4 linked regions of the Drosophila melanogaster genome follow. The protein of the gene in region 2 interacts with the protein of the main gene of each other region in a pairwise test. Each region holds a gene or a part of one and is shown on either strand. Other genes may lie near its edges.

Region 1 (9,107 bases), on a different chromosome or scaffold from region 2:
GCTACCGAATAGTTGCCCACTCCACTGGCCACATAGTTGCGCAACATGTTGATCCTGCTGAGGATGCCAGTCTTCAAGGCTCCATTAACGTTCAGGAACAGATTGTTTTTCCCGCATTGCTCACCTACTGCCTGCAGATGAGGTGGTTAAATCACTACAATCTCGAGTAATGATAGCTACTACCTTAGGTTGAAAGCAGCCCACATGAATTTCCGAGTTCATGCAGAGATTGGGCTTACAATGGGGATCATCTTCTGGTATCAAGCTCGCAGTTAGCGGTAACAAAAAGAGGTACAGATACCACATCTTCATCTCGTGGCAAAAGTAATTTAACTAACGTGTAGAGCTATCTTATGACCTAGATTTATTAAATGCAGCATGAACGAATCAATTAAGCTCGCCCAATTGCAGGGCATTGGGATTAACATGCTCCTCGGGTGAGCAGAGCCCCTCATATATGGAGTGGGTTCCCGCATAGCAGCGACTTCCCGGATGAGCACTTGCCCGGTAGACCAGCTCATTGGCGATCTTTCCGCGCGAAAAGTGACATAGGACACCGTACTGATAGAGTCCGCTCGTTTGGCCTTTTCGCAGCATCATGGCACAGCCGACATGGGCAGCCAAATCTTGGACCAGCTGGGTGAAGTAGCCGCGACACTGTCTGCAATCGTGGATTAGATATACATCAACCTCTTGAATCTCTCACTCTCACCCATCCTTGGCCGGTTTCTCGGCATTGATGTGGGCCATCGTGCAGCCCTTAACATCATCCATCCAAAACTGCAAGACAAAGTCCAAAACGGATATGGGATCCTTCTCCAGTTGCAACCACTTGGTACTGCCATATATATACGACACATAGCTGAACTCATCCGTATTGCTGCAGTAATCGTCTATATAGTCACAACGCCTCAAGGCAAACTTGGCCAACCCGGCCAGTTCCTCGTGCCACCGGAGTGTTGCCATCCGGGAAGCTGGACGCAAGTGCGGATACTGACCCTTAGCCACGGTATTCCGAAAATCGTTTAGGACGGCCAGGAGATGGGCACGCATGTGCATGGGAAACTTCATGATGATCGCTTCACTGCCACAACTCTCGTCAAAGTCCTGCGAAACTCAGACAGTTACTGAGCAACTTGATGGGAAGCCAAACTTACGCCATAATTGCGGCAAGCGATATGCGTTATTTCCGGCAGACACAGATCCTTGTTGCAGTAATCCGTAGATAACGCCTCCTGGCTGATAAGGACTATTATAAGGACTGAAAGAAGGTACAACATCTGGTGCCGATTGCTGGAGTCAAAATACAAAACTATTTTGAAGAAAACTGATCTATCTATACAGCGTAAAATCCATTGTAACTGCCTAAATGCAGCGTGACAATTCTATAATATATAGAGCTATTACTAGTTTTATTTCCAACAGACAGCCATATTCAACAAGGAATCCAAAAAGCTAGAAGGTTATTATTAAGATATAAAATTTACAATATGTGTAAAACATTGGAATTTCGCATGACTCAATTAAATCAAGGTAATAAAAACATAAAACATAATTGCGCATCTCAACTAAGAAAATAATAAATAAAAACTTTCGATTGGAATGTAAATCCACTAGTAATCTTTAGAAACCCATTTACCCACTGCTTTTTCATTGGCAAAAACATCCGAGTGCAGAAGTAATTGAAAACATGTTTGCATTTCTTGTTTTTGTGATTTTGTGAAAGTGCACATCGAAACAAATGTGCTTCAGTTGCATTTGATGTGCACTTCACTGGTTTATTACAATTAACACTTCATGTAGTTCAGTTTGGTTTTCGTTTTGGATTTGCTTAATATAGATGTATAAATAGAAGGTTGCGCTTAAGTTATATGTACACTTTACATACATCACATGGAATATAAAAATGGCTCGTTGTGCGATCGCTTTCACTTGGTTTTTTACCAGGAGTTTGGAGTTTTTTATGCAAGAAAACATGGAAAGTAAAGTGTTCAGCTGAGTAAAAAAGCTATAACGAGACGGAAAGGGGATCCTCAGTTCACAGTGCGATTTCACTGGCCAAAGTGGGGATTGTAGGGAGCTTGCTTCTCATATCCAGCGGGCATAACACTAGGTCCTGGATTAGCCATGGACATGTCATACGGCGGCGGATTCATGTTGGCAGCCCCGGCGCCAGGATACGTCGGATACGCCACGCCATGCGTTTGCTGACTGCAATGGATAAAAGCATATCAATTAATATTTGCGTTTCGCTGGAGCACTAGCTTCCACTTACCCCGGCATCGGCATAGGCATTGGCATTTGCTGCTGGTTCTGGTGGCTCATCGGCATGGGCATCTGCACAGTCACGTTGCTGCTGGGAAAATGGGGACATTAGAATAGTTTGCGGCAGCACTTTAGGCTCCGTACTTACCCGGTGGTCTGTACGGGGTACGAGGTCGCAGTTACGTAGGCATTGCTCGATGGATAGCCCGGCGGAGGCAGCTGTGTGACCGGATATCCGCCGGGAGCCGTGTGGGTGGCGGAGGTCACCACCACAGGCGCTGAAAGTAGAAAGAACGGAAAAAAAGAAATTAGAAACAGAAAATAGCTGCGCCAATGATTCTGAATCATCGCCAACCGCGAATCGCAGACTCGATAAGCTCCCACTTTTGATTAGACTCATCAGTGTGAACAAAAATTCCCCTTTCAGCACTATAAAAAATTTTCAATATTATATTAATCTAAATTAATGTAAGTCATAAAAACTTGATGTATATTATATTTTGCTTTTTTAATTTCATTTGGGGTTTTTTTGGTGTAATTTCTGTGCTTTTTTTTTTTTTTGAGCTTTTAATCTTATCCACTCAATTTATTTATAGAAAAGGGTAATAACAAGCCCGTGTCACGTTTATATGCACTATAAATACATTTTGTGTTATAATTAATATAAAAAATATTTTTAAAACATATACTGCCTGTATCGAAAACCAAGAATAAGAAAATACTTCACACTTAGACAAATAAGATAAGGCTCAACAAAATTTGCTGCACCACTATTTCTTTAAGTGTAATTGGCAATCCATTCATTGCTCAGTCAATGTAATTACCAACGCCTTCGCTGATTGTGTAGCCAACATTTCGCGCTGCTTTCTGCCTGCGTCTAATGCAAACAACGAAGGAAGTAATGAAAAATATGGCAAAGGCTATAGATAATCCAACCCAGAATGCCCACATTCTCGATAAGTCAGGGAATTTAGCTCGAAAAAACACAATCGCTTTCCAGGCGAACACAGAACAGACTGCAAGTCCTATGTCTGACAAAACCCACTCACTCGGACCGCGTCTAATCAATGTTCGATTTTATGGCCAATACGATAAGCGGGTGGTGTACTTGCATTATGGTTTTGTTTATCTCTGATATTGGCAGTACGAAACAGCTTCAAAATTACATAAATCATAAAACATAAATAACTCTTCCCGTAGCTGCAGCTATTTACCCATGGATCTGAACTTCTTGGCTATGCAAAAGAAGCAGAGGCACATCAACGAGGCAATCACTATGAAGACTGAGACTGCTATGATGGGAATAACAAACGGCTCCATCGCGAATATTATTCTATACACGCTGAACTGGTGCTACAGCGTGGAGTTCACGATTTCAACTGTTTCATGACATTGGGGTTTTTGTGTTTTTTTTTTTTTTTTGTGTAAATGGGAGATATTGGAAACCCATTGGACGGCCGCGTTATCGCCACAAACGGGTGATCCCCGAAAACACACCTGCACCCTTGGTGAGCGCCGCTCTCCGGGTTCGACCACGGGTCAGAAATACAGCCGCGGATGTCATGAAAAATACGGAGAAGGTGAAGAAAAGTATCCAGTAGATGCCCGAATCATCCATGATTATGATACTGACTGAATAAGCGGTGCACAAAGACTAAACAAAAGCGAGAAACTAAAGCCGCCGGATTGGCAATCGAAAAAGTGCCAGTAATGGCCAAAGAAAAGGGCAATCACACTCATAAAGATAGCACTTATCAGTGATAACAGTACACTTTCAACCATTATCATAACTTACTTAAATCACCGAGAGCCTGACGACGCTTCCAATGTAGTGCAACCAGGCCGATCAATGCCAAAATGAATATTTTGAAGGTTATGCGAAAAACGGATATGAAAACCACAGAGCGTTCCTGGGACTCCAGCAAGGAGCTGACCTCCGTTTCGTTATTCATTTCGGGAATACGTTTACAAATTGTTCCAATATCGAAAGTCTTCCGGATTTCGAGCAAGATTTAAGGCATATATCACAACAAGGGCAACCAAAACCGTGAGGATACAAGCTTCGTATGCCAGAAATGTCCAGTTTATGTGCAGTCGCTGGGAAATGTCCTCAAACACATCCAATATGGTGGCATTCATCGTGAGGACCTGCGACCTAACTAAATGGGTTTCATAATCATTTTCTGAATTACCCTGCATTTCGGGATCAACGTACGTCAACACTCAATCCTTTATGACCATTAGCCATTAATACCTAATTATTGATTTGCGTTTAGGCGTAAACGAAGCATTTAGTGGCACATTTGGAAATGGAATCCGAAATAGTAGGGAATCACAGTCGTTGTTATCAGCATATATTGCACAAATATAACAATAACACCCAGTCATTACCCACTCCAAACCAAGTCCTAAATCTCAGTATACCAAGATAGCCGGACTATTTCACAACAGAGGCTTTTAAAGTTTAGGATACTGGATAAGAAATTATTTTTAATTGTATTTGGAGGGGAAATTAAAAGCCTTAAATATGTCTTACATCTTTTAATATTAACTCGGATTTCTCATGCAAAAGACTTTACTTCTAGCTAAAGAACTAAATTCGCACACAATCCAAAATTTCTTCTAGACAATGACTTGAATATTTGAACCATAAATAAAATTGACAGTGCAGATAGGAAGCAAAAGCACTAAACCTTGGGCAATACCCATTATTATCATATATTTATCAATTTACAAGATCAAGTTAGGAAATCTAATGCAGACGCTTTGAATGACGTCTTCGAGTAATGGATTTAATTAGAAAAACAAGTTTTTCAGTGTATTAGATGCAGATACCGCTATCATGTGAGTTTTTACCTCTATTTACATGTGGCAATAATGAACAAAGTGACTCAAAGTGGACAATACGCAGAATAGTTTCAAAATGTTGTTAATTTTATCATTAAAAATTATAATTATAAAATAACTACATGCCACTTGATCTAACTACATAAAGCGGAAATTTTTGATTCATTAAGATGTGTCTCTTTTTAAAGCAGACAGCAGCATAAAAATAATAAGTACGGTATCTTAATAATGGGTTACCAACCTTTACAGTTTTTAATCTCCTTTCCAATTTTTAATCGTAGGCATATACAAATGGCCCCAATACAAATGGTCAATACAAAAATCGCAAACACTATAATCAAACTAAAGTCGTCTTCATTTGAATTCGAATTGAAAACATTCACAAAAAGAAAATTCATGATTGCACTGCAAACGCGACCTATAGACTAAGATAACTATCTGAAACTGCAATTATCTGTGAGTGTTAATAGATGCTGAAATAAGAGAGTTGGCTTATCGTACAGATACGTTAAGAATTGCTCTTACCTTCCGTCTTATTGCGTTTACAACAAGAACAACAACACTTGCAATAGCCCCAGATAAAAAGCATAAAAATGATTGCTATTAATCTGGCACCCGCTTCAGGAAGTTTATCGACACTTGGAGCATCGTATTTAGGTGGCGGTGGGAATTCTAAAGGAGGCATCTTTTTTCTAGTAAACACGTTTGACTGCAACGAACTGAGTAAATGAACTGGTCGAACTGTGTGTCTAAGCTCAGATCTTTTTGGACTGAATCTGGGAAAAAATTCAATTCACTAAGCCCTTTTTATTACGATAAGAAAAAGCGGACGAAAAAAAATATGCATGTTATCGTTTAGACTGTGTGTAAAATATTTATCCAGAATACAGAAAACTTATATAACCAGCTGGATTTTCAGTATTTAACAAGTATGGATGAAACAAGTACTACTTAGCTCTTTGTTTAATTTTAGTAATTTAGTGAACCATTCGCACATTTTTGCAGCGTACTTTTAGGCATAACCAACCAGAAGCCGCTAAAATACCCAATAAATATAAATTCTTGTCTTCTTTGTCTTTCCATCTGCTTATAGAGTCTTTGATATGTGACATCATAAATGGTCTCAAATGTATAATACATTTATTAAGATTTACAACGCACAACAAGTACGTAGTTCAATAAAAAAAACAAATTTGCGATCGATTTGAAATTTATGATTTAGTCACTATGAGTCAGAATTACACTCCATTTCCCAATGAAAGCAGTGACAACTACTATGAACTACAATATTACACCGAAGATGATTGAATTATTTGAAATTATAATAGGCTGACAAAAAAGGAAACTTTACGATCGAGCAGAGGTAAATGCAGTACAAAAACAATACATTGAAGAAAACTGCGATTGAAGTATATTTTGCCATTATTGGTCAAATTTTGCTAAATTCCAAATCCCTACCGATCCGAACGAAAGGAGCAAAGAAACTAAAATCTTAAATCACTTTAAATAATTACTCATACGCATAATATACAAAAGGTAAATACCACCATTCGCTTAAAAATTTGATTAGAATAATCATTACTCACTAAGCCGCACTCAAAAAAGTTTAAAAGATTTCATTACTTTTCTATGTGTATATCAAAAATTATGACCTTTGAATAGAAGTTTTTTAAACTTTTCTAAATTACTAAGAACGTAGTAAAACAGCAACATAGCGTTAATGCACCGAATGAATCAAAATATTTAACCAAAATTTGTAGAAAATTAAAATCATGGAAGCAATAAAAAAATAAAATTATTTTTTCAGTACCACATTCTTAAAAAGTACCATTATTTTTTTGAGTACGCTTAAATGTTGTAAACGACTTATAGTGGCTGCATCCGCTTTTTTTTTAAATCTTGTTCTTAATGTTCTGTTCACATCAGAATTAAATAAAACATATATTTTAAGTTCTTAGCAAAGGCAAATAGTGTATCCACTTTTTTTTTGTTTACGAAAAGAAAGCTACTATATATAAAGTAATTTTCTTAAACTTTGAATGTCGTCGTTTTTGTAAACTTTCTTATTTATTAAGCAGTTGATTCGGCAATCTTGTAGTGTTACAACCATGTAATAAATAACGAAACTAAGTAGTTAAACATAAAAAATTAAATAGATTGTTCTCCGTTCTCCATTTTGTTGAACAAAACAAGACACAGGAACTTCACACACGGAGCTTCGTCATCTGACAATTGGGAAGAACACAGGACAGCAACAAAGGATTTCTGCATCGAACTATACTAACTTGCTTCAATCACATCCTTGCCCGCCAGGCGCTGTTTCCTTTTGCGGATCACGTATCCTATGATCATTGCCACGACTCCGCAGAGGACCACAGCGAAAATGGTGCAAAGGATGATGGTGGAGATCTCCAGATCCCTGTCGTTCGGAACGTGCGGCATCCTAATCGAATTACTCACAACAATAGGTATTTACTAACTAATAGATTCTATCGGCAGGCAGTCTTGAGGATAGTTCGATGGGTCTTGAAACTACGCCACGGTGTTCATTACGCAGAGGTTCGACGATTATTGCGAATCGGATTCGATTCCTCGCCGACTTTTGTAAGAGTCCAGACTGTTTGCATATCCCCACAGACCCGAAGTCAGTTTAAAATGGTGGTTTGGATGGCAAGATAAGATTAGCAACCATCGCTGGGTTGGTATTGACGCTCTGGGCGTTTAATCGGCTTAATAACGCCATATAGTCCTGATATCGGTGCCAGAAGGTAGCATAGAATAGAGGGGAACCATAAAAGTTCAAGTGGACATTGTATTTACAGCTTGAAACCTGCGTCAATAGTCTACATCAATCAAAAATAAAATTAGGTTTGGTTTTCGAAATTTATTACTTCTGGGGGATCCTCAGAACGATGCGATTACTCTAAACAATTTCCACAAATCTTTGATCGTTTCTGACGTCAGTGCTAATCAAATAATTGAATTAGCCTTATCGAACGCTTATTATCTGAGATGGGAAACAATACAGCCGTTGGGGAAATTCACCGGTCAACAGTTGGACCCAAGATTTTTCTGCAGAAACGAAGTACGACTCAAGTGCAACGACAACAATTATTCTGTTGACAGAATGTCAATAATCATATTTAACTTATTTTATTATTTAATTATCTAAAGCTGGTCATAAGTAGGGGTAAATTATTTTCAATCAAGTACTCCTATGTACATGTAATTCAAGTTATTATATTATACACATATTATATATGTATATTTTAATTGCGTGCTAAATATTGAAATTTTGACCTAGTTAATCCATAACTCTATAGAGATTTGAAAGGTTTAAATAATAAAAATATATATATTTTTTTTTTGGTTTTTGTACTGTTGTGCAAATGTGTTATCGAACATAATAGAAATTTAAGTGAGAAAATTTTTCCATAAAAAATTTTTTGGTGTGCTGAAAAGTTGTTTTTCTGGGAGCATGGTACCAACTATTAACGACCGTCTAATCAACACCCTATCGCCTAATTCAAACAACACTAAATATAATTTAATATCATTCGGGCAAGGGTAAGAAGAAAAAACAAGACTTGACCTCAAACGTTTGCGAATATAAGATAATAAGATTGTCGAAAATGTTAAAAAGGCTACACGAGCCCGATTCGATTTGATGAACAGCATTGATGATTTGTAAATTAGGGCGATAATCAAAACGTTTGATGCAAATGGCGTCTTGGACTTGAAGCACTTATAGGTTCATATGATTAGATTTTGATAGCTCGGCTGTCTGGAGCGATTCCCAGAATCGACGATACGACCATCGATCATCCCAGAATTACTATTTAAAGTCCTGACCTCACCGGCGGTAACCACAGTTGCGTTTCCCACGCGAAGTCGACGGGCGCGACGAACTCGCAATAGTACCAGTATCAAAACCACTATAAAAAACACCATTATAATGGGAAACCATTTAACCATGGTTAAAAGATACTTTTTTC
Region 2 (6,338 bases):
GCGCCAACGGAAGCAGAAGGCCAAAAAGCATGCTCAACGGCAGGCGGGAAAAGATATTTCATCAGCAGTGGCGGTGGCAAAGCTTCAACCATTGTCCGAAAAAGAAAAGAAACTGGTCAGACAATTCAACACATTTCTAGTCAGGAACTTCGAAAAGGTTGGTTTACTTATTTTAATATACGAAATATATATTAAAAAATATTTATTTATCTTTCATTAGATACGCAGATGCAAGGCCAAGCGGGCGTCAGATGCAGCGGCGACTGCATCCTCGCCAGCACTTGGCACCACTAATGGGGACATTCCTGGTAGACGTCCCTCCACACCATCTTCTCCTTCCTTGGCAGCGCAGATTTCCGCGCTCTGCTCGCCTCGCAACATAAAAACCCGTGGACTCACACAGGCAGTGCATGATCCCGAACTAGAGAAAATGGCCAAAATGGCTGTAGTTCTAAGGGATATTTGCAGTGCCATGGAGACCCTCAAAATGTCCGATTTGTTGACGACAGTGTCCAGCAAGAAAAAGAAGCCTATAAAGACCACTTTGAGTGGAAAATTGGGTTCTACAGCTGCAACTTCAAAAGTGGAATTCAGATCGATACAAGCCCAGGTGGAGCAGGGACATTACAAAACGCCGCAGGAATTCGATGACCACATGCAGCAGCTCTTTGTGGAGGCCAAGCAGCAACACGGCGATGATGAGGGCAAGGAAAAAGCGCTGCAGTCCCTGAAGGATAGCTATGAGCAACAGAAGATCGCCAGCTATGTTCAGCTGGTGGAGATTCTTGGTGATTCGGAATCGTTGCAGAGCTTTAAACCAAAGGAAGTGCTTTCGTCAGAGGAGGAACCTGGAAAGATAGCAGTGAAGAAATCACCAGGAGCAAAGGAAAGAGATTCCCCAATTGTGCCATTGAAAGTGACTCCGCCACCCCTGCTTCCTATTGAGGCCTCTCCTGATGAGGATGTAATCCGATGTATTTGTGGATTGTACAAAGATGAAGGCTTGATGATTCAGTGCTCCAAATGCATGGTGTGGCAGCATACTGAATGTACCAAAGCTGACATCGATGCGGATAATTATCAGTGCGAGCGTTGCGAGCCAAGGGAAGTGGATCGAGAAATTCCCCTGGAGGAATTTACCGAAGAGGGACACCGTTACTATCTCTCCCTAATGCGTGGTGATCTGCAGGTACGACAGGGCGATGCCGTCTATGTCCTACGAGACATCCCCATCAAGGATGAGTCCGGCAAGGTGTTACCGACGAAGAAGCACACCTATGAAACGATCGGAGCCATTGATTACCAAGAGTGCGATATCTTTCGGGTGGAGCACTTGTGGAAAAACGAACTGGGAAAGCGTTTTATATTCGGACACCATTTCCTGCGTCCTCATGAAACTTTCCACGAACCATCGCGTCGTTTCTACCCCAATGAGGTGGTACGAGTTTCACTTTATGAGGTGGTACCCATTGAGTTGGTCATTGGACGCTGCTGGGTGTTGGATCGAACAACTTTCTGTAAAGGACGCCCCATGGAATGCAACGATGAGGATCATTGCTACATCTGCGAGCTGCGTGTGGACAAGACGGCAAGGTTCTTCTCAAAGGCCAAGGCCAACCATCCAGCCTGCACCAAGAGCTATGCCTTCAGAAAATTTCCCGAGAAGATTAAGATCTCCAAGAGCTATGCGGTAAGTTTAATATTTTAAATAATAATAACGCCAGTTAACTAATGAGCATTAATGTGTAGCCCCATGATGTGGATCCGTCGTTGCTGAAGACAAGGAAGCAAAAGACTGAATTAGACGTAGGAGCCGGGCCAACAACGATGCACAAGGTGTCTGGCAGGCAGGAACAGCATCAGGCCAAGATGGTTGGGCGAAAGCCTCGTGGGATCAGTGCCCCAGCGGATGCAACTGCTGTCCATGTCGTAACACCCGTGGCGCCCAATAAACAGGTGTGCAGAGTTTTGAACAAGTTTTGAAATCAATCTATTACAATTAACTTTGTTTTCAATCTCCCTAAAGATGCTTAAGAAGAGGAAATCGCGTTTAGAGAACGTTTTGATAACTATGAAGCTTAAGTGTCTGGATGCACAAACGGCACAGGAGCAACCCATTGACTTGTCATACCTGCTGTCCGGACGCGGCGCCCGGCAGCGGAAGACCCAGCAGTCCAGTAGCAGTTCTACGGCCAACTCAACATAACCGATGTAACGCGAGTAGATTAAGCCGTGTATATACGCCTAAAGTTAGAGGCATTGATTAATATTTATGGAACTTCAATTAACAATTAGCATTTAGCCATGTAAGATGTAACGGTGATAGTAGTAATCCTAAAGTGTACATTGTTATGAACAAACTTCGTGAAAGGACTCCGGTCCCGGCTAGGATGGAACAGATTATGAATTATGGTTAATATAAGGATTTATTTAAATACTAGTGCTTACGCCACCGCACCAAGCCCCCAATTTAGATGAATTTCTTTTGTTTTTAATTGTTTATATTGGCTCTCCATATTAATTTTGTTTTACAAAACTATCCCCCTCTCGTCTTTGCAATTGAAGGCGTTTGACTTTTGCATTGTTATTTTAAATTATTGTATTATGTTATGGCTGCTTAATTATGTAACACCCGAGTAGGACAACTTATTGCGCTATTAGTTTTTAGTTATTTTCCAATTGTTATTAACTGCTAACAAAAATTTTAAAAGTGAAATAAAAAATATATTTTTATTAATCAAAGCCGAATTTTAAATGAACCGCCTGTTTAACACAAGTGTTGGATTGCCTAACTGTCGCGTTATTCAACACTGCTTGCATGGGCGTAGTGAAGTTTCTGATTCGGGGGACTTCGAATTTAAGATTATGAATCACTTTGTTCTTGTATCGCAAAAATTCATTTGCTTAGAGTTTTTCTGCATTTTTTTTTGGGATTAAAATAATAATCCCCCCTTAAATGTGTTTGCTTACGCCCATGACTATGCAAACAGATGTTCAGTGAAGTTGAATTGGATTGAATTGAATCGGCCATGCTGTGTAATATATTTAAACGCTCGCTTCAAGCGAATATAAGGAATGTGAATAACTTAAATGTGCTGCGGTTGAGCAGTTCCAGTGGTCCCCGAGGAGAGATCCAGGACGCACTGGACATAGAGGCCAATCTATTCGGGAATTCAGATTTAAGGCATGAGCCGATGAACACGAGGGAAGCTTTACGCAAGAATCGATTTGCCGGTAGAAAACCAAAGGTGCCATTTGCCTCAGTTGCATCTCGCAACCTCTCAGCTCCATCTAATCCTGCACCACGAGTGGCTCCAACTCCCGCTCCAGTAATTAAGGACAATGAGCTGAATCTGGAGTTTGTGCGTCTCACTCTGCAGGATCCACTTACCAGCACCCTACTAACCACAGTGCGCTCCCGCAAGCGCCGTGATAAGAACCGGCAGATCATCGTCGAAGGCCGTCGTCTCATCCAGGAAGCCCTGCAATGTGGTCTCAAAATGGAAGTACTCCTCTTCTCCCAGAAAGATCAGTTGGCTCTGGTCAAGGAGGAAGTAGGCGTGGCACAGGTGGAGACGGGTACCAAGATTTACAAAGTGCCGCAGCACGACCTAAAGACGTGGTCATCGCTGGTAACTCCTCCCGGTCTGATGGCTATCTTCGACAGGCCGTCGGACAAAGGCTTGGAGAAAAACCTGGCGGAGCAACAGCGTCTGGGCTCTCAGCCCTTTCCCATTACAGTTGTGTGCGACAACATCAGGGAGCCCAACAATCTGGGCAGCATTATAAGGACCTGCGCCGCGCTGCCCTGCAGTCAGGTGGTGGTCACCCACGGCTGCTGTGATCCCTGGGAATCGAAGGCCCTGAGAGGAGGCTGTGGCGGTCAGTTTAGAGTTCCAATTCGGGATGATGTAACTTGGGATGAGCTCGCGCTAACCATTCCGCCAGAGGCGGCCGACGACTGTCATGTTTTCATTGCCGAGACCAACCAAAGGAAGCGGGAGAACAACCAGACCATTGACTATGCAGATATCAAGGGTCTTGGAGCCCATAACTTGCTCATTATTGGCGGAGAGAGTCACGGAGTCAGTGAGGAAGCTTACCGGTAAGGGGGGAAACGAATAAGTTATAAAATGGAATGCTAATTATGTTTTTATATTGTCAGTTTCTTAAACTTGGTTGGAGGTAAGGGAAAGTGCATCTACATCCCGCTGGCAGCTGGCATCGATAGCTTGAATGTGGCATCTGCTCTGACGCTGTTGCTTTTTGAACTGCGCCGAAAACTCATTCATCAGGCATCAGAAAAAGAATAAGTTTGGAATAGCAACCGATATAATTAAATGTATTTTCTTTAATTGTTAATTTCTATGACAAAGTGTATAAATCGCAGTTAAATCCCATCAATAAACTTGAGTATATTTGTTATGATCCTTTCGAAAATACAATTTTCATCTTGTGTCAGGCATAATATAAATTTATTGCTAGGCTGTTTCACAAATATAGTAATTAATAATTACATTTAATTCAACTATTAGCTTCGATTTCCTTGTAAACCTCGCGCTTATACTCGTCCAGACCACCTTCGATCGCTCTGACTGTGCGATTGCCACACACCCAGAGTTCCTTGCAGACGACCTTAATGAGGCGTTCGTCGTGGGAAACCAGGATTACGCCGCCCTAAGAAAGACAGTACACATGTATTTCATGGTGTAAATTTCCACTAAAGTCCACTTTACCTTAAAGGCATTTATGGCTCGGCCCAAAGCATCAATGGTTTCAATGTCCAAGTGATTAGTCGGCTCATCGAGCACCAGGAAATTTGGCTCCGCTATAAAATAAATATATTATGTTGATGTTAATGTTATTGAAAGAAGATGGATAGTCACTATCTTACCCATGCACATCTTTGCTAAGGCCACTCGTGATTTTTGTCCTCCAGATAAACTGGCAATGCTCTGCAGTGCCAGTGGTCCGGATATGCCGAAGCTGCCCAACTGCCGGCGATACTCTTCGTCCGGGCGACCAGGAAACAGTTCTGCCAAAACTCCCACACACGTTACATTCATATTCAGATGGTCCACATGGTGCTGCGCAAAATATCCAATTCGAAGACCGCGATGCAGGACAATGTTTCCGTGAATAGTGCTCAGTTGACCGACAATAATCTTCAGCAGCGTCGACTTTCCCGCTCCGTTTTCTCCGACAATGCAAATTCGAGAGTCCGATGTGGCTGAGAGATTGACGCCCTTGAAGATGGGCAGTGGATCTTCTGGATTGTAACGGAAAGTAACCTCCGAAATGGCCAGCACGGGAGGATTAAGGGGTTCCACTTCGGGGAATTTGAGCGTGACCACAGTCTCCTTTTCCACTGGCTTTAGTTCCGGCCTGCAAAGCGAACGTAGATGTTTTAAATTTCTTCCAGTCATTATTTTAATTTATATTTTTGTACTTACAGCTTTTCGAGCATTTTAATTTTGGATTGCACAGACGAGGCACGGTTTGCGTTGTATCGGAAGCGATCGATGAAGTCCTGGACATGAGCTCTGTGAGCCATTTGGGCCTCGTATTCACGTCTTTGGGACTTCAGCTTCTCCGTCTTGGTCTTCTCGAACTGTTCATAGTTTCCCCTGGGGAAAAAACAATTTATATTTAAATTAGGCTACATTTTGTAATTTGTAATAGTTACTTGTATGCCTCCAGTTCCTGGGAATGTAGGTGAATAATGTCTGTCGGCACCGTGTCCAGGAAGTTGCGATCGTGAGAAACTACCAGAATGGTGGTGGCCCATGTCTGCAGATAGTTTTCCAGCCAAATAATGGCTTTGATGTCTAACATGTTCGTCGGCTCATCGAGCAGTAACAGATCGGGTTTTGAGAACAGTGCCCTGGCCAAAGCAAGACGCATGCGCCAGCCGCCTGAGAAGGATTTAGTTGGACGCAGCTGCATATCTGCATCGAATCCCAAGCCCTTAAGTATCACAGATGCGCGGGCCACAGCCTTGTCCGCCTCGATGTTCTGCAGAGAGGCGTAGGTCTCGCTCAGCTCATTGGACAGCGTCGCATCCTGAACTCCATTGTTAAGGGCAGCCAGAATCTCCTTCTCGCGGGTCAGAAGTCTCGTTCGCTCAGTATCACATTCCAGCACACTCTCCACTGCTGGTGTGTCATCGCCAACCACCTCCTGCTCCACGTGCAGCACCGATATGTGCGAAGGGATCTGTAGCTGTCGCTCGGCAATCATGCGGAGCAGTGTAGTCTTGCCCAGGCCATTGCGTCCCACCAGACCATAGCGGCGTCCGTAAGACAGCAGCAGATTCGCATTCTGCAGAAGAACTCTAA
Region 3 (6,655 bases), about 16 Mb from region 2:
AACTGGAAAAGGAGAAGAAAAAGCTGTCTCTAAAAATCGAACAGATGCAAGAAAACATCAATCGTCTGACTCAGCAGAATGTCGAACTGGAAGGGGTCTTTAAAAATGCCCTGGAGGAGAACAAAAAGTTACAGGATGCCGTGGATAATCGCCAAAAAAGCTACGATCGACAGAGCCTGGAACGCGAAGCTGACCGTCAAAAGCTTTCTGATGCCGAGCAGCATGTCGAAACCTTAAACAAAGAAAAGCAACGTATCCAAACCCTGAACGAAAGCATTCAGCGAAGAGCCGACGATCTTGAACGGTTGGCGGAGAGCAAGACAAAGGAACTAGAGCAATACCTGGAAAAATCAAGGCAATACGAGCTTACTAAACAGAAGCTCTATGAGATCGAAGCAAGGGTCTCCACGTACGAACGCGAAAACGCCAGCCTGCTCAAGGAAGTGTCCAAACTCAAGGAGGGCAGCGAGCAAAAGTCTGTGCAGCTGGATGACAGTATTAATCGGCTCGATGTCCAGAGCAAAGAACTACAAAAGCTGGGCAAAGCACTTGAGGATTCGGAGCAAGTGCATCAAAAGCTTGTGGAACTGGAGAAGCAAAACCAAGAGCTAGCTTCACAGCGCATCATTGATCAAGAGATGATAAGTACTCTTCGAAACGACTTGGTGACTGGTACTCTCGTAACGAAGAAAGTGCGAAACAACTTGGAGAAACTAGGATTGGCGGACGAAGAGCCCGGTGAGCTCAATGTGGAGCATGTGGTGGAGAAGTTGGTGCGCAACCCGGAGACTTTTAAAACGGTTCGCGAGATAATGCTAAACGTGACCCGAGAGCAGCTGGAGGAGGAGGAACGAGAAGGTGGCGTCAAGTCCGACATGTGTGTGCTATGCCACCGTCAGGAGATCTTTACGGTGGAAAAGAACATTGAACTCGCGGCTACTCCAGCTCCTGCACCAGCGCAACCATCTTCGCAGGAACTTCGCTTCGAACACAAGGTACGTCTAAGTCCAGCACGAGAATCAGCAGAGCTGACCCGTATTAAGGATTCCAACACTCAGCTTCAGACTGAGAATGCTCGGCTCAGCGTGGACGTGGCTGCGCTGGGCTCGCAAATAACTTCGCTGAACACCCAGCATGTAGCCCTACAGCTGGCAAACTCCCAGTTGGCTGCCGAAAAAGATTCGCTGCTCAAAGAGATCGATTCACTGCAGCAGGAGCACAAGCATGCTTTGCAGGATCAGGTTACGTTGCAATGCCTGCATGATCAACTCTCCGCGGAGTACGAGTCTCTGAACAAGGACAAGGAGCAGCTAAAGGCTGCAGTGCGGGACTTGCGTCAGGAGCTGCGAGATACCCGTGAACAGCAGTCGGCATTGGAGCAACGCATTGAGGAGTTGACTATTCAGAACAGCAACATGAAAACATGCAGCGAGGATCTGTCAATCCTGCGTACGGAGCACTCCAAACTGACAGACGACTTCCGCAATCTGTTCGCCACCAGCGATCGCTTCAAGAACGAATACAAAAACATCCAGGAGCAGTACAAGATGGTACGCATGGAGCACTCCAGCCTTAAGCTACAAAACACAGAACTCTCCGGCGAGCTAAATGCTAAGAGCGATCAGGTCCGTTGCCTACAGATGGAGTATAGCAAGGTTCAGCAGCGTTGTGAGGTGAGTTAAAAAGTGTCAAGATATAATATTCTATTAATATTCTTTTTGCATACAGATGTTGATACAAAACAATGCTGAACTGGACTCGGAGCGCAAGGCTCTGATGGACAACGTGTCCCAATTGCTCTCTCAATATCAGGAACTATTGGCCATATCCCTGGAGGACAAAAAGCACTTCCATGAGGAGGAGAAGAACTACACCGAACGGGTGCACAGCCTCAAGCGGCAGAAGGAAAAACTGGAGGAGAAAATTATGGAGCATTACAAGAAGTCAGAAACCACAGTGCACAAGAAGTAAATAATATAACCATACAAAAATATATTTGTTATTAAGCCAATCACTGTAAATTTCAGAAAACCATTTGCCAGCATGCTGGTTAGAAGAGTGAAGAAGGCTAGCTCGGATCTAATGAACAAGGTGCCCAGTCGAGTAAGTTTACTCACAACTAGATGTAAAGAAACTTAACATAAAAATATTTTTTTTTTTTCAGAACCGTCGATCTTGGGTAGATGACGCCCGTACCAATTCCCAGTTCGTGATCGGTTCCGAGTCAGGCGGCAATGAGTCGGATAATAGCAATGAGGAGCCACTGTCCATTGCCTCCGACACGCACCTGCTCCAGAGGAATGTCCCGCTCCGCCAGAGTCTGCAGCGGTAAGCCATTCAGTTGGGTTGGAAATTGATGTTTTTTTTAGATTTTTGGGTTCACGGTATTTGTTCTTTTTACATGTATTATACACAACTCGACATTCGCACCAAACAAACACTGTACATTATGTCGGAGTAGGGATTTGCTGGATAACTCGATCCAACGCGGCGGTGCCGTGCGCAGTAGCCTGCAGGCTCAGAAACGTACGGATTTGAATAACTCACGTAGAAATAGCGTGCACGGGTATGCGCTTTTGATGTTTAACATTCATTCTACCCCATTAAAACTTGCCAATTGAAACAGATCGAAGTCTGTTTCGAGGCTTCAATTGACCACTATTAATCCTTATTCCATCTTTCCCCTTGCACAATGCGTATTTCCCTTCGTTGTCGCTCCCCACCTGTGTTTAAAAAAGTGCATTCATCTAGTTACTGATAAATCATTTGCTTCGCAGCAGTCTTGAAGCGCCAGACGTGACGGGCAGCAGTCTGACTCTCGGAACGGCCGGTTCCAGACGCACCGTTTATCTTATCGATGAGCACCAAAAGCTTCCCGATGGCTCTACTCCCGGCGCCACACAGTCACAGTCTGTTGGCGGCAGTGGCTCCGTCAACGCCGCACCTCCTACACCCGCAGAACCTCAGACGCCTCAGAAGAGTACCGAAAACAATGCCCCGGTGGGCCCAGCTACGTTTCTCATGTACAACCGAATAAACACCACGATCGGAGGAGCCTCGAACAGCGGGGACCAGAGCCCTCTGCTGCAGGCCAGCGGCAGCGTCTCGGGAACGACCATGCAGGATGACAAGTCGGCAAGGAAGCGGACCGAAGACAAGAGCAATAGCATCTGGTATGAGTACGGCTGCGTCTAGATCATTCGAACAGTATACGTCCACAACGTGAACTCGAACATAATGCATTTGCTGACGAAGTATTATTTCGTTTTAGAAATTAACGAATTTATTTTTAAACGCATTAGAACATCGATGTTGCCTTAAGCAAGTTACATATGTAAGTGTGAAGTGCTGCTTAAACCGCTATGATTTGCCTTAAGAAATATTTTACAATTAGACTAGTACATAGTACATACTATAGTTTGTACCTATTTATGCAATCTAAAAACTCCACAAGACTACGCGACAACTATGCGAACATATAACTATCCAGTATACACCCCTATATACACAAAACTATAAAAAAATATGTTAAATATTAGCTGTACCGGCCTCAATGTACGTCCTAAGCGAAAGGCTTTCTTTTTCGCAGATAAGACAAGATATTTAAAAATAGTATTTATATCCGTTCATTTGGTGTTTTGTTAACTCGACTCGACTCTATGTATTCCTAGATATGTTGTAAACCACACTCGTACTCTGCTATCAGCTAACGAACGCGCCTTCAATTTGTGAATATATTTTTATAAATTACTTGTAGCCTTGTACTATTTATTGACGCAAAGCCTAACACCGCAATAAAACTAAGCAAACATACAGAAAATATCTCACTTTTTCGGCAAGTCTCTAAAGATAACCAAAGATACATATAAGGTGATCCGTTTGTCCCCAGTATTTTAGATTGAAAGGCGACTGGAGACAAAAAAGATGTGGCTAAAGGCGCTTGTTCTACTGGTAACTACTACAAACTGTGCGCACTTCGGGCTAATAATCACTTTTTAATAAACTTAAGCTTTCGATTCGATATTTGGCGGCCACGTGCAATGTGTGTCAAAGTGATAGCAATGTCGCTTGTCACAGTGAAACCACTTTTTCCATCTGCTATGACGGTCTGTAAATTTTCTTTAAAAACAAGGGGATTGTGTGACAACGTTTTAATTTCCAGGAGTTCCATCGTATGATCTCTTGCCATGTCCAAAGGACTTTTATTGCACGGATGGCTTTTACACTTGCTATCAAAATGCTAATCCGGTTTGCAAAACAGAGGAGGACACTTCCACCACCGAGATCCAGACAACCAGTACAACCACTCCTAGCCCCATTACCACGACAACCACTAAGAACCCAACTACCACTGCTACCCCAATTACCACAACAACCACTGAGATCACGACTACAGAAGCTCCGTGGAATGCCGACGATATCTGTCAGCAATACACTAAAAACACCTTTTTCGAAAACGAAGATGATCCCACCTGCACCACGTGAATACCCTACTGCTGAAAATTGTTTTCGATGCTAGACTAAAGAGTTCATTTTTCAGTTTTATAACCTGTACAGTTGATAGCGACGGAACGCATTCGACAAAAGTCACTTCATGCAAGGCTAATCAGTATTTCAGTACCAGCTTAAAGGTTTGTACCGCCACAAAGCCGGATGGATGCGTGGAGACGACAACCACTATAGCCACCACTACCCCAACCACCACCACCGTGACCACAACAGCGGCGAGTACCACCACAGCGGAACCCTGGAGTGCGGAGAAAACCTGCCTGACTGTCTCTAAGACCACTTTGTTTCAAAACCAAGACGACCCCACCTGCACCACGTAAGTAGACCACGAATTTCCAGGGAACAACTCACATAAACCATTCTTCTAGGTACCTATATTGTTATTTTATCAATGGATCGGCAACAGCTTTGATAAAGAACTGTAAGACCAACCAATATTTTGATGCTTCCTTGAAATCGTGCAGCGAAAACAAACCGGATTATTGCACCTAAGTCAGACCGTTTAACAGCAGTAATCGATCATTATCAGATTTATTGAAACCAATAAAATATTAGTATAAAACAATCATATGATACCATTTTCTAAAATTGGCAAGATAGGATGGGGAACAGGCCACTACAGTAACTATTTAAGAGCCACGCGGAGCTCTTATGCTTCAGAAAGCAAAAGGCAGTGCGGTTAAGCTAATCATGTGGCTGCGTATAATGTTTTTACTGGTGAGGTCTTTAAAAATATCTTTTACCTGTGCTAATGAAATATATGTACATATATATTTTAGTTGCTGGCTCATTGCCTCACGGCTTTGCCAGCTCCAGAGTTTGACGACCACAACTCGAAGACTTGGAGTGCGGAAGAAGCCTGCAGCGAAGTTACAACCACCACCATAATGGAAAACCAGGCTGATCCAACTTGTAGAACGTAGGTCACGTCTATGGCGTACAATAACCAAAATTATATTATATTTAAATTATACATTATCAGCTACGTTTATTGTTACGTGGTCAATGGATCAGTTTTGTCGTTGATTAAGAGCTGCAAAGTGAACCAGTACTTTGATCCCAATTTGAAAATGTGCCGGTCTGAAGTTCCAGATGAATGTTCTGCAATGGCACCAACCAACTAAATCCCACGGCATCTTTCATGCCACTTTGAACTTCTGCAGCGCCAATAAGCTAGAGCTATATCTGAATTTCTTGGAACCCAAAGCTTATAAATGTTTCAAATCTTGATGCCAATAAAAAGTAATAATAAATTATAGCATTGCAATGCTTTTGTAGGAAGTTTTATGGTTTATACGTTATATGGTTTTCAGCGAATAGATTCATTTCTACATATTCAAAACATCCGGATTATTGTTCTTGACAACACCCAGAGTTTACCCAGAAATTTGCACATATCTGAGAAGTCCATAAACAAAGTACATACGAGTACGAGAACGGGTGACAAAACAAATTAATAAACCTACGCAATAAACATTAATTACATTGCCAAAGCGTACCGAGATAAACGATGCTACAGATTAAATCCTGTGGTATTTAAAGGCCGCTTTGGCGCTCCAAGGTTTCAGTGTGCGAAGTGTAGCAAGGTTAAATTGACAATGTGGACGAGTCTAATTGTATCACTGGTAACTATGCAAGGACTGCACTTGGATCTATATCCCAAATCAAAAGAATCCACCCCATAATAGCTCCTGGTCCACTGCCTGCTTGCCGGGGCCGCGCCTGCGCTAAAGGATCTGGACGCGGGCACCTGGAGTGCGGATGAGGCGTGTCAGAATGTGGATAAATCGGTCATAATAGCGAACCAGAATGACTCCACATGCGTCAGGTAAGCAACTCGGCGGATTATACGGATTATCACCTACTAAATGGAAATTCACTTTCAGCTACGTCTATTGTTATAAAGTCAATGACTCAACGAGGGCTCTAATCAAAAGCTGCAAGACCGGGCAATTCTTTGATGCCGATCTCAAATTCTGCACTATCAGCAAACCAGCGGGATGTGTCTAATATGAGAAAGTCTTAGTTAGAAATACGTTTGAATAGTAATTCACTAGATTTTACATATGTATTATTAATTTATTACATTAAAACCCAAAAATTAAATATTTTTCGATTACCTAAGCAACCAGTGGCAAATTCCCAA
Region 4 (7,713 bases), on a different chromosome or scaffold from region 2:
AACTATTACGCCTTATCGGTAGGTGTTAAATAATAATGCATTCCATATAGCTAGTTCCTGAAGTTCATACGCACAACCTTGGCAAGTAATTTATTAAGTTATTGGGGCCACACTTTTAGTTTTAGTTTCTAACTCTGCGAGAAAGATGTTCGTTCAAGAAGAAATAGATTAGGAAGTAATTTAGTCCATAATTTTCCTTAGTACTAAGGACTTAACTAACTATTTTGTTTCCCTTTCGTTCAGACGTGCAACGTGTTCTTCTTCTCCTGTGGCGTGACCACCTGGGGTTCGGCCGTCTCCGTCTACGGCAGCTATGGGTCGGCACTTTGCGGAGGAGCAGTTTTCGGAGTCGCCTTCCTGGGCATGTACGTGGCCTTGAAGGTGTCGTACAAGTATTCCATATACGTGAGTAAACTGCGTTCACAACTGCAAGTCACAGACTAACCTCTTTGCATTCAGTACCTAATTTGCAGTGGCCTGGTTATAGCCGCCCTGGGCTCCTACCTCTTCACCTTCACGGCGATGCGGGAGCAGCTGATGGGCAGGTTCGAGGAGCGCATGCGCGACCTCTTCGAGCGAAAGACCCACAGCGACGACAAGATGCAGCCAGTGCACAGCCTCTTCGGCTGCTGCGGCATTGAGGGACCGCAGGACTACCTTCAGGAGGAGCACGGCGCCCTGCCCAGCAGCTGCTGCTACGCCTTCGACTGCTCCAAGCCGGCGCACGTCTACGAGGAGGGATGCTCCACCAAGGCGGTAGCTACTCTGAGAATGCAGGCGGAGCTCAACTACTACAGCTGCATGGCGATCATTGCCCTCGAGGTGAGACATTAAACCATACGCAGGGTAAAATTCACTTGCCACAAGGGTACTTGAGCACAAGGGTATGTTTCGGCACGTCGCTTATGGAAGAGTTATCCAATAACTTTTGAATTAACGCACACAACTGACTCAGTGAACACATTTTAACTACTTTTTTATTCGTCACGCTTAAATAGAAATCCCTGCCAAGATAAGATGTGTGTTTTTTCATTCAAACCATTTTTGTTACTAAAGTTTTCTTTAAACTAAATATGTCAAAGGTGCGATCGTTACTATTTATGTACACAGTTGTTGAGCTTTTGCTTGATGTTATAAAGTTATAAAGTAGTAAGGACGTTAAGACAGTAAAATATTTTTTTAACAAAGTTCGCTTGTCTATTCGATTTCGATTCCATATCAATATTATATTATTACAATTTATGTATTTTTCAGTTTTTGGGCTTGTTCACCGCTTACCATTTGGGCAAGGCTCGCAAGTATGCCAAAACCAAGATAAAGGACGAGGAGACCCCCATCAACGACTGATGGCCGAGGATACCCCTGCATGATTATTGATAATAAAAATTAACCAAATTAGCTAAAATGCCATTAGAAAATAAATACTTTCCATAGCCTAAACGAGTTCCCCGCAGTTATATCTCTCTCTCATTGAATTCGGCATCATTCGGCTGCGAAGATCTGAAAAACAAAAGAACATTGAAGAGCGCAGATCGTGATTTTGGGATTTTACGTGCTGCCGGCAAATATTTGCATCTGAAATTCATTGTCTATCGGAACTCCGATCTGGCAGGTTCGATCATACAACAAAGATTACTCTCTATTACTAATTATTCAAGAGGAATTAGTTTGGAATTTTACAAAAACAGCTTAATCGTAGCACTAGGATGGGCTGCACTTCCGGTTGCGTTAAGTGTTTCCTTAACACTCTTAATACTCTGAACGCGGTGAGTTCTTAACATATGCATATATTCACATGCATATGAATAAAAATTGGTAATTCTGTGCTATAAGAATGTATTACAAATGTAAATTAGCCATCTGTGTTCCCACAGGAATTTAAATGAATACATTTTTCTGCAAATCGACAAGCAAGTACGCATTCCGTTTTCATGGAATCGAAAATTTGTTTGGCCAGTAAACGTAATTTGCTTGTCAGATATGTATGAGAAACATTTGCCGCACTTTAATGATTAGCCCCAACACATTCCAAATTCAATTTGTTTGATCTAGAAATGCTTTACGACTTTACCATATGCTGCGATTTGTACCATATTTACAATTTATGGAAGATTATGGAAGAAAACAAGATTTTTAACTGCCAAAAACTTGTTTTATCCATATCCTTTTAAAAATAACTCATTATTTAGCACTAAGAGAGCGAACGTTATTGTGAAACACCAAATCAAATAACAGAGATTCCAGTGCCCAGATAAACGGGAAAATCTAGTTTCTTCACCGCGGCATTTGATAATATTTTGAAAATACCTCAAGCTCCATTGGAGTCATTGACATTACCACCCGATATCATTGCCAAATGCTAATCTGAATTGACCCTATGCTCCCTCTGTAGCTTTCGGGTCTATCCCTGATAGCCATTGCAACGTTGGCCCTCTCGAAAGCCCCTATCGCCTACATTCTGTTTCTATATGGACTCGGTGGCATTATCTTCGTTTCGGCTGTACTGGGATGCTGTGGAATCTGCATGGAGAACGTGTGCATGACCGCAACGGTGAGTGGAAACGCTATGTCATCCGTTTGGTAATTCACTCACTCTATGTTGTGTGTTGTATGTCAACAGTACGGCTTCTTGCTGTTGGCTCAGCTAATAATCAGCTTGCTAGGCATCTTCCGCTTCAAGTTCACTGAGGAATACATAGAGAAGTTCGCCGCCGAGGAGGTTCAGATGAAATGGGACGAGGAGCTGGTGGAACCCGGCGCCATGGACATTTACCAGACAGTGGTTCGTATTCTGGCGAAGATCATTCGCATCATGCACTTTTAATCGAATATATTTAATATGCTGGCATTATCGTTTATCATTTTTATGAATTATCTTAACAGTACGAGTGTTGTGGGCGTGATAGCCCCGACGACTACGTGGCCATCGGTCGTCAAACCTTGCCGCCCAGCTGCTATCCCCAGGAGGACCCCCAGATGCCCCACTATCTAGCTGGTTGCGTCCAAAAGTCCAGTGAGAACTTTGTGGTGCTCTTCAGCTACGCCCACGATACCAACTGGATAGCACTGGGAATAACCGTGAGTGAAATGTGTGAACTACACATGGAGGGACTAATCTTACAGAGTTTTTACAGATTCTAATGATGATTGCCGCCTTTTACTTGGTCGGAAGATTCAGGAAGCAGCGCGTTCGCTACACCTACTAAGGAATACTTTCGTAGAATTCTGAATATATTATTAGGGCGCCAATATTCCTTTACAGTAATCTTGTATAAAGTTTTTGATGCTCCCAGGAGAAATAAAAGCGTATCCCGATGAAACGAATACTTCCGATTATACAAAGGGTTCAATCCGAACTGATTAAAATTGTGATTTTTAAACTAGTAACTTTGTATTTGTAACTATGTATTTGCCTAACAGGGTCAGTTCAGCTGTCTTTCGGTATATAGCTCCTATACTTTTAAGATTCACACAAAGTGAGCAATGCATTTAGGGTTTCTATTTTGATAGTGGAAGTCAGGATCCTGCACTCCGCATCGGAAACTGAGCTCATCCGGTGATGTTGATGGCGTCATTCAGTGCCGAGTGTCTGACGCAATCGAGCTGAATCAATCTTACCGGCATTAATTCGATCGTTGGTAAATTGCTTTGAGAGGCGGTGGTCGATTAGACCCAACTCCGCTCTCGATAAGACACACACCGCGGCTAAACATCTGGCAAACGGAGACATATAGATTTCGCTTCAGTTCTGTCAAGCATAACCAGCTCCACGCTTCGAACTTTCCCGCCTCAGTTTCTGTTTGGCTTCCGAATGGCGGGAGCCGCACTAGAGTGCCACCGCCACCTTTAACTTTCTTGATTTGCCTACTGCGAGTGCAGGCGAATTCGGCTAAATGGATTTTAGTCACTCGAAGTATATTAATTGACAAATCAATATAACAAGATAGTGATATATTTTGTAACCTCTCATTTTAATAACATCTATGGTATCAACGAAAATCAATACAATAAGCAATGAACTTTTGCTATCGTCTGGGAGCGGGTTATTGAGGTTCTACTGTATAGTAATGTGTGTGCCCGGCTGCTTTTGTTTGCTTTAACAAACACTGCTAGCTGGCACTGTGGGGCACATCATTTTAACTCAATCACTGTTCAATTGTGAAAATGAATTTAAAAGAATCAATTTCGTAGAGCTTGCTTAGAGAAGATATTTGATTAAAAATTGATTACGTATTTCATATTCGTACAGGAAGTCCATATCATTTGATTCGTGCCGAAACACTCTGCATTGCCTTAAGTATTAGGAGCAGTGTTCGTCACTATAATTTTGGTGCTCCATGAACAGCTGCTATTCTATTCATTGAACCCACGGTGCAGAAGCGGCAGCTTTGGAGCTTCGGACCGCTCGACTCGGATCGGATTCCGAGCGAGAGAGTTTTCGGGGAGCTCAGTTTGCTCGTGACCGTGGCCGCACCAGTGCGCACTCCTAACCGATTCAGTCAGGTTCCGCCGATACGGACTCAAAAACTGAAAATAATCGGCGGCACAGCAAACTGCCGCACTTGTGGCACTGCGATTCGGTTGCATTCTAGCCAAAGGCAAAAGTTTGAAGTGGAAAAACATTCGAAATGGGTTGCGCAACGGGCACCATAAAGTACTCGCTGTTCCTGTTCAATGCCTTATGGGCGGTAAGTAGAGCACCGAATTGGAATTGGCATATGGTGCCTTGGGAGTCTAAGCGATATATCTGCGTATCTGCCGGTTCTTTTCTACAAATAGCCAGCTAATTGCGATGGTTTGAAATTTGTGTGAGGGGAGCCTCGGTGTTTGGGGTCTATGCTGTCCGTTCCACGTCCACCTGGTCGGTGGATGATATCATCTCGGGTGCGTGTTTGGTTTATGACAACGCTTCGCGGCTGGCTGTGTGTGTTAGCCAGTGTCTATTGTTAATGGCTTCTGCTCGGCCTTTTAGTTCCTTAAGCCAAGAGGAGGGCTTGCTAGCCAAGCGGCGAAACGAGGTTGCTGAAGTGCGTCATGCATTCGGATTTCGTTTGAAAGGCTAATTCGAGCGGAATATGGAAACCGGATTATTCACCAGATAATGATGAAAATAGCGATGAGGCCGAGCTCGACGCATTAGTCGGTGCCCATATGCATCAAAACTTTCTGTGGCCTTCTCAAGGCCGCGATGGTCTGATGTAAGCCCAATCCTAATAGATTGTTGACTGATCCTTTTGGAATTCTTCTTCGACCCTAGAGAGTATACAAATTCTTAATCACACTCTCTAGCCAACTCGGTCTGGTCATGTCCGTTTGTCCGTCTGTCTTTCTGTCCGTATGAACTTCCCACTTCAGCGCTTTTAAAAAAATGTTGTCATGATTCCAAAACGCAGTCGCTCAAACAATTTAAGAGACATTTTTTGTTTTCTTAATTACGTCTATTACTCGTAAAAGCGTATACTATATTTGCTTGAACAGGTCGATCTATAGCCATTTCCGTCTGTCCGTATGAACATGGAGATCTCAGGAACAATAAAAACTAGAAGGTTGTGATTCAGCATGCAGCTTCTAGCGACAAAGACGCAGCGTAAGTTTGCTGACCCATGCTGCCACGCCCACTCTAACGCCCACAAAATCGAGCTTGTCCAAGCTTTTGAACAATTTTTAAATTTTCTCATTTTATTCCCCAATATCTATCGATATTCCAGAAAAAATATAAAAATTAGCGTTCGCATTCACACTAGCTGAGTAACGGGTATCTGATAGTCGGGGAACTCGACTTGTTTTAATCTTTGCTTTTATGCATGTGTGTTTTATAAAAACTTTTAGGGCTAGGCGGTCTGAGATTATAAACCCAATTTTGTTTGGCAATTTTTTACATAGATAGATAATATTCATAATTTAGAGGATGCTGGACATATTTATTGACTATTTAATTTTCTGACTTTTAGATACTCGGTATCCTGGTGCTCATCTTTGGCGGCCTTGGCTGGGGAGCAATGCCAGATGCATATGCCATCGGCATCTTAATTCTGGGCGGTACTATCCTGGTAATATCCCTGTTTGGATGCTGTGGAGCCGTTCGCGAATCGCCGCGCATGCTCTGGACGGTACGTAACTGAATATTGCAATTAGGTGAATCATACATGAGCTAATAATTCTAATTGCCTTGCAGTATGCGTCACTGCTGCTGATTTTGCTGCTACTTATAGTGGCGTTTATCATCCTGAATCCCAAAGATGTATTTAAAAAGTACGCGCTTCAAACGGTGGAGAATCAGTGGGAGCTGGAGCAGACGAAGCCTGGCAGTATGGATATTATTCAGAAAACGGTGAGTGCCAATGTAACAAAGCAAAGGCTAGTTTGTTTGTTCAAATGCTTCCAAAATAAAGATTAAAAGAGTGCTTTAATTTGGAATTTTTTTTGTTATATACATAAGTACATAAGCAAAAGGTAGATAGGCGTTAGGGCCGTGCTCTTTTTTAGCTAGTGTTATCTTACATGGTTTGAATTGAATATAACGCTTTAGCTTATGTTTATTTCTAATAATGTAGTATTAGAAATTGCGCAAAGCTGCTGAAGTACATATTTATGTATGCTTAGCCTTCTCCTTTAATTTTGGTGTTTATATATTTCTATCACTTTAGTACTATTGCTGTGGCCGCGACAGTGCCCAAGACTACTTGGATATCAAATTCTGGAACAATACCGTTCCAAGTAGCTGTTGCAAGGACGACAGCTGTGTGAATCCACTGAATCTATATGTGCGCGGCTGCCTCATCAAAGTGGAGGAGGCTTTTGCAGATGAGGCAACCACTCTGGGCTATTTGGAGTGGGGTCTGCTCGGATTCAACGTAAGAGCTCTTTATTTCTATTACGGTGGAGCAAATTTCTAACTCATTTCTTTATTTCTTATAGGCTGTCATTCTATTGCTGGCCATCATCTTGGCCATTCACTACACCAACCGGCGGAGACGATATAACTATTAGTGAATATTTACTGAATAAGAAACCAAACTCCTCAAATCTAAGTGTCATCAGTGTATGGTTTGTTTTTGATACGAAAACCCAGCGTTACTTGCCAAGCAACTGAGTTAATCTTTTTATTAAAGCAATGTTTAACACATTCGAATATTAAAATAATATGTACATAACTACAAGTACCAAACACATGTCGTTTAAAATACCAAATATATTTAGAAAAATTACTTTCAACAATATTTTCGACAATAATTAAGATTTCAAAATAGGTTCGCGATACCGGTGATACAAAATATTTTGAGTTTTTCACCTTGACCGTCCGTTTGTCCGTCCGTATGAACGTTCTCGATAACTATATAAAATGTTTTAAGTTAGTCCACGCAAAAACAAATTATGAGCACATGTGGAACAAAAAGTTGGAAGCAAAAGCGTTAAGGCTTACATATATATGTTTATGTTTCTCTCCAATGATTCGTGTAAAGGGTATATAATAGTCGAAAGCGGTTTCTTTTTTTCCTATCCATGCACTTTCCTTACAGCGGGCACATCCATCGGAATATGAAAATATTCTTTCTTTTAGCAACATAAACTTCGTGTTTAGAGCCACCTCTCTAAACATTTTACTGAAGTTGAGCGATAGTTTTTTTCAGTGATGTTGTGCGTTGGAGAAAACTGACCACTAGAGGGCTCTTCAAACGAATTGCGCAAACAAAAGTCAAGCGAACTGTTATG

The links.
Region 1: the proteins of CG14100 (region 2) and CG17574 interact in a two-hybrid assay, tested with the Drosophila melanogaster proteins (one large-scale study listed by BioGRID).
Region 3: the proteins of CG14100 (region 2) and CG42494 interact in a two-hybrid assay, tested with the Drosophila melanogaster proteins (one large-scale study listed by BioGRID).
Region 4: the proteins of CG14100 (region 2) and Tsp42El interact in a two-hybrid assay, tested with the Drosophila melanogaster proteins (one large-scale study listed by BioGRID).

Annotation. Positions count from the first base shown.
Region 1 is NT_033778.4:12,847,686-12,856,792, forward strand, and holds CG17574 (uncharacterized protein), read right to left. Parts: upstream 5,856-9,107; 5' UTR 5,798-5,855; coding exon 5,638-5,797; intron 3,898-5,637; exon of another isoform or gene 3,884-3,897; coding exon of another isoform or gene 3,763-3,883; intron 3,659-3,762; exon of another isoform or gene 3,586-3,658; coding exon of another isoform or gene 3,480-3,585; intron 3,264-3,479; exon of another isoform or gene 3,217-3,263; coding exon of another isoform or gene 3,090-3,216; intron 2,544-3,089; coding exon 2,414-2,543; intron 2,357-2,413; coding exon of another isoform or gene 2,354-2,356; coding exon 2,276-2,353; intron 2,212-2,275; coding exon 2,052-2,211; 3' UTR 1,673-2,051; downstream 1-1,672. Other genes in the region: antr (antares), read right to left, coding at 1-131, 184-312; CG30486 (uncharacterized protein), read right to left, coding at 388-661, 713-1,107, 1,158-1,280.
Region 2 is NT_037436.4:19,587,170-19,593,507, reverse strand, and holds CG14100 (uncharacterized protein), read left to right. Parts: upstream 1-2,983; 5' UTR 2,984-3,029; coding exon 3,030-4,105; intron 4,106-4,165; coding exon 4,166-4,313; 3' UTR 4,314-4,436; downstream 4,437-6,338. Other genes in the region: ash1 (absent, small, or homeotic discs 1), read left to right, coding at 1-157, 221-1,690, 1,750-1,956, 2,027-2,206; CG9330 (uncharacterized protein), read right to left, coding at 4,525-4,677, 4,737-4,828, 4,895-5,385, 5,454-5,627, 5,687-6,334.
Region 3 is NT_037436.4:3,181,472-3,188,126, forward strand, and holds CG42494 (uncharacterized protein), read left to right. Parts: upstream 1-3,889; 5' UTR 3,890-3,924; coding exon 3,925-3,951; intron 3,952-4,009; coding exon 4,010-4,106; intron 4,107-4,162; coding exon 4,163-4,481; intron 4,482-4,540; coding exon 4,541-4,825; intron 4,826-4,877; coding exon 4,878-5,001; 3' UTR 5,002-5,078; downstream 5,079-6,655. Other genes in the region: girdin, read left to right, coding at 1-1,673, 1,729-1,967, 2,028-2,103, 2,165-2,328, 2,462-2,566, 2,778-3,195; CG32284 (uncharacterized protein), read left to right, coding at 5,200-5,226, 5,289-5,428, 5,492-5,633; CG14957 (uncharacterized protein), read left to right, coding at 6,108-6,134, 6,198-6,337, 6,396-6,519.
Region 4 is NT_033778.4:7,041,326-7,049,038, forward strand, and holds Tsp42El (tetraspanin 42El), read left to right. Parts: upstream 1-4,443; 5' UTR 4,444-4,628; coding exon 4,629-4,688; intron 4,689-5,951; coding exon 5,952-6,110; intron 6,111-6,175; coding exon 6,176-6,331; intron 6,332-6,647; coding exon 6,648-6,854; intron 6,855-6,918; coding exon 6,919-6,990; 3' UTR 6,991-7,213; downstream 7,214-7,713. Other genes in the region: Tsp42Ej (tetraspanin 42Ej), read left to right, coding at 244-405, 460-822, 1,255-1,347; Tsp42Ek (tetraspanin 42Ek), read left to right, coding at 1,707-1,766, 2,393-2,551, 2,621-2,782, 2,884-3,078, 3,135-3,206.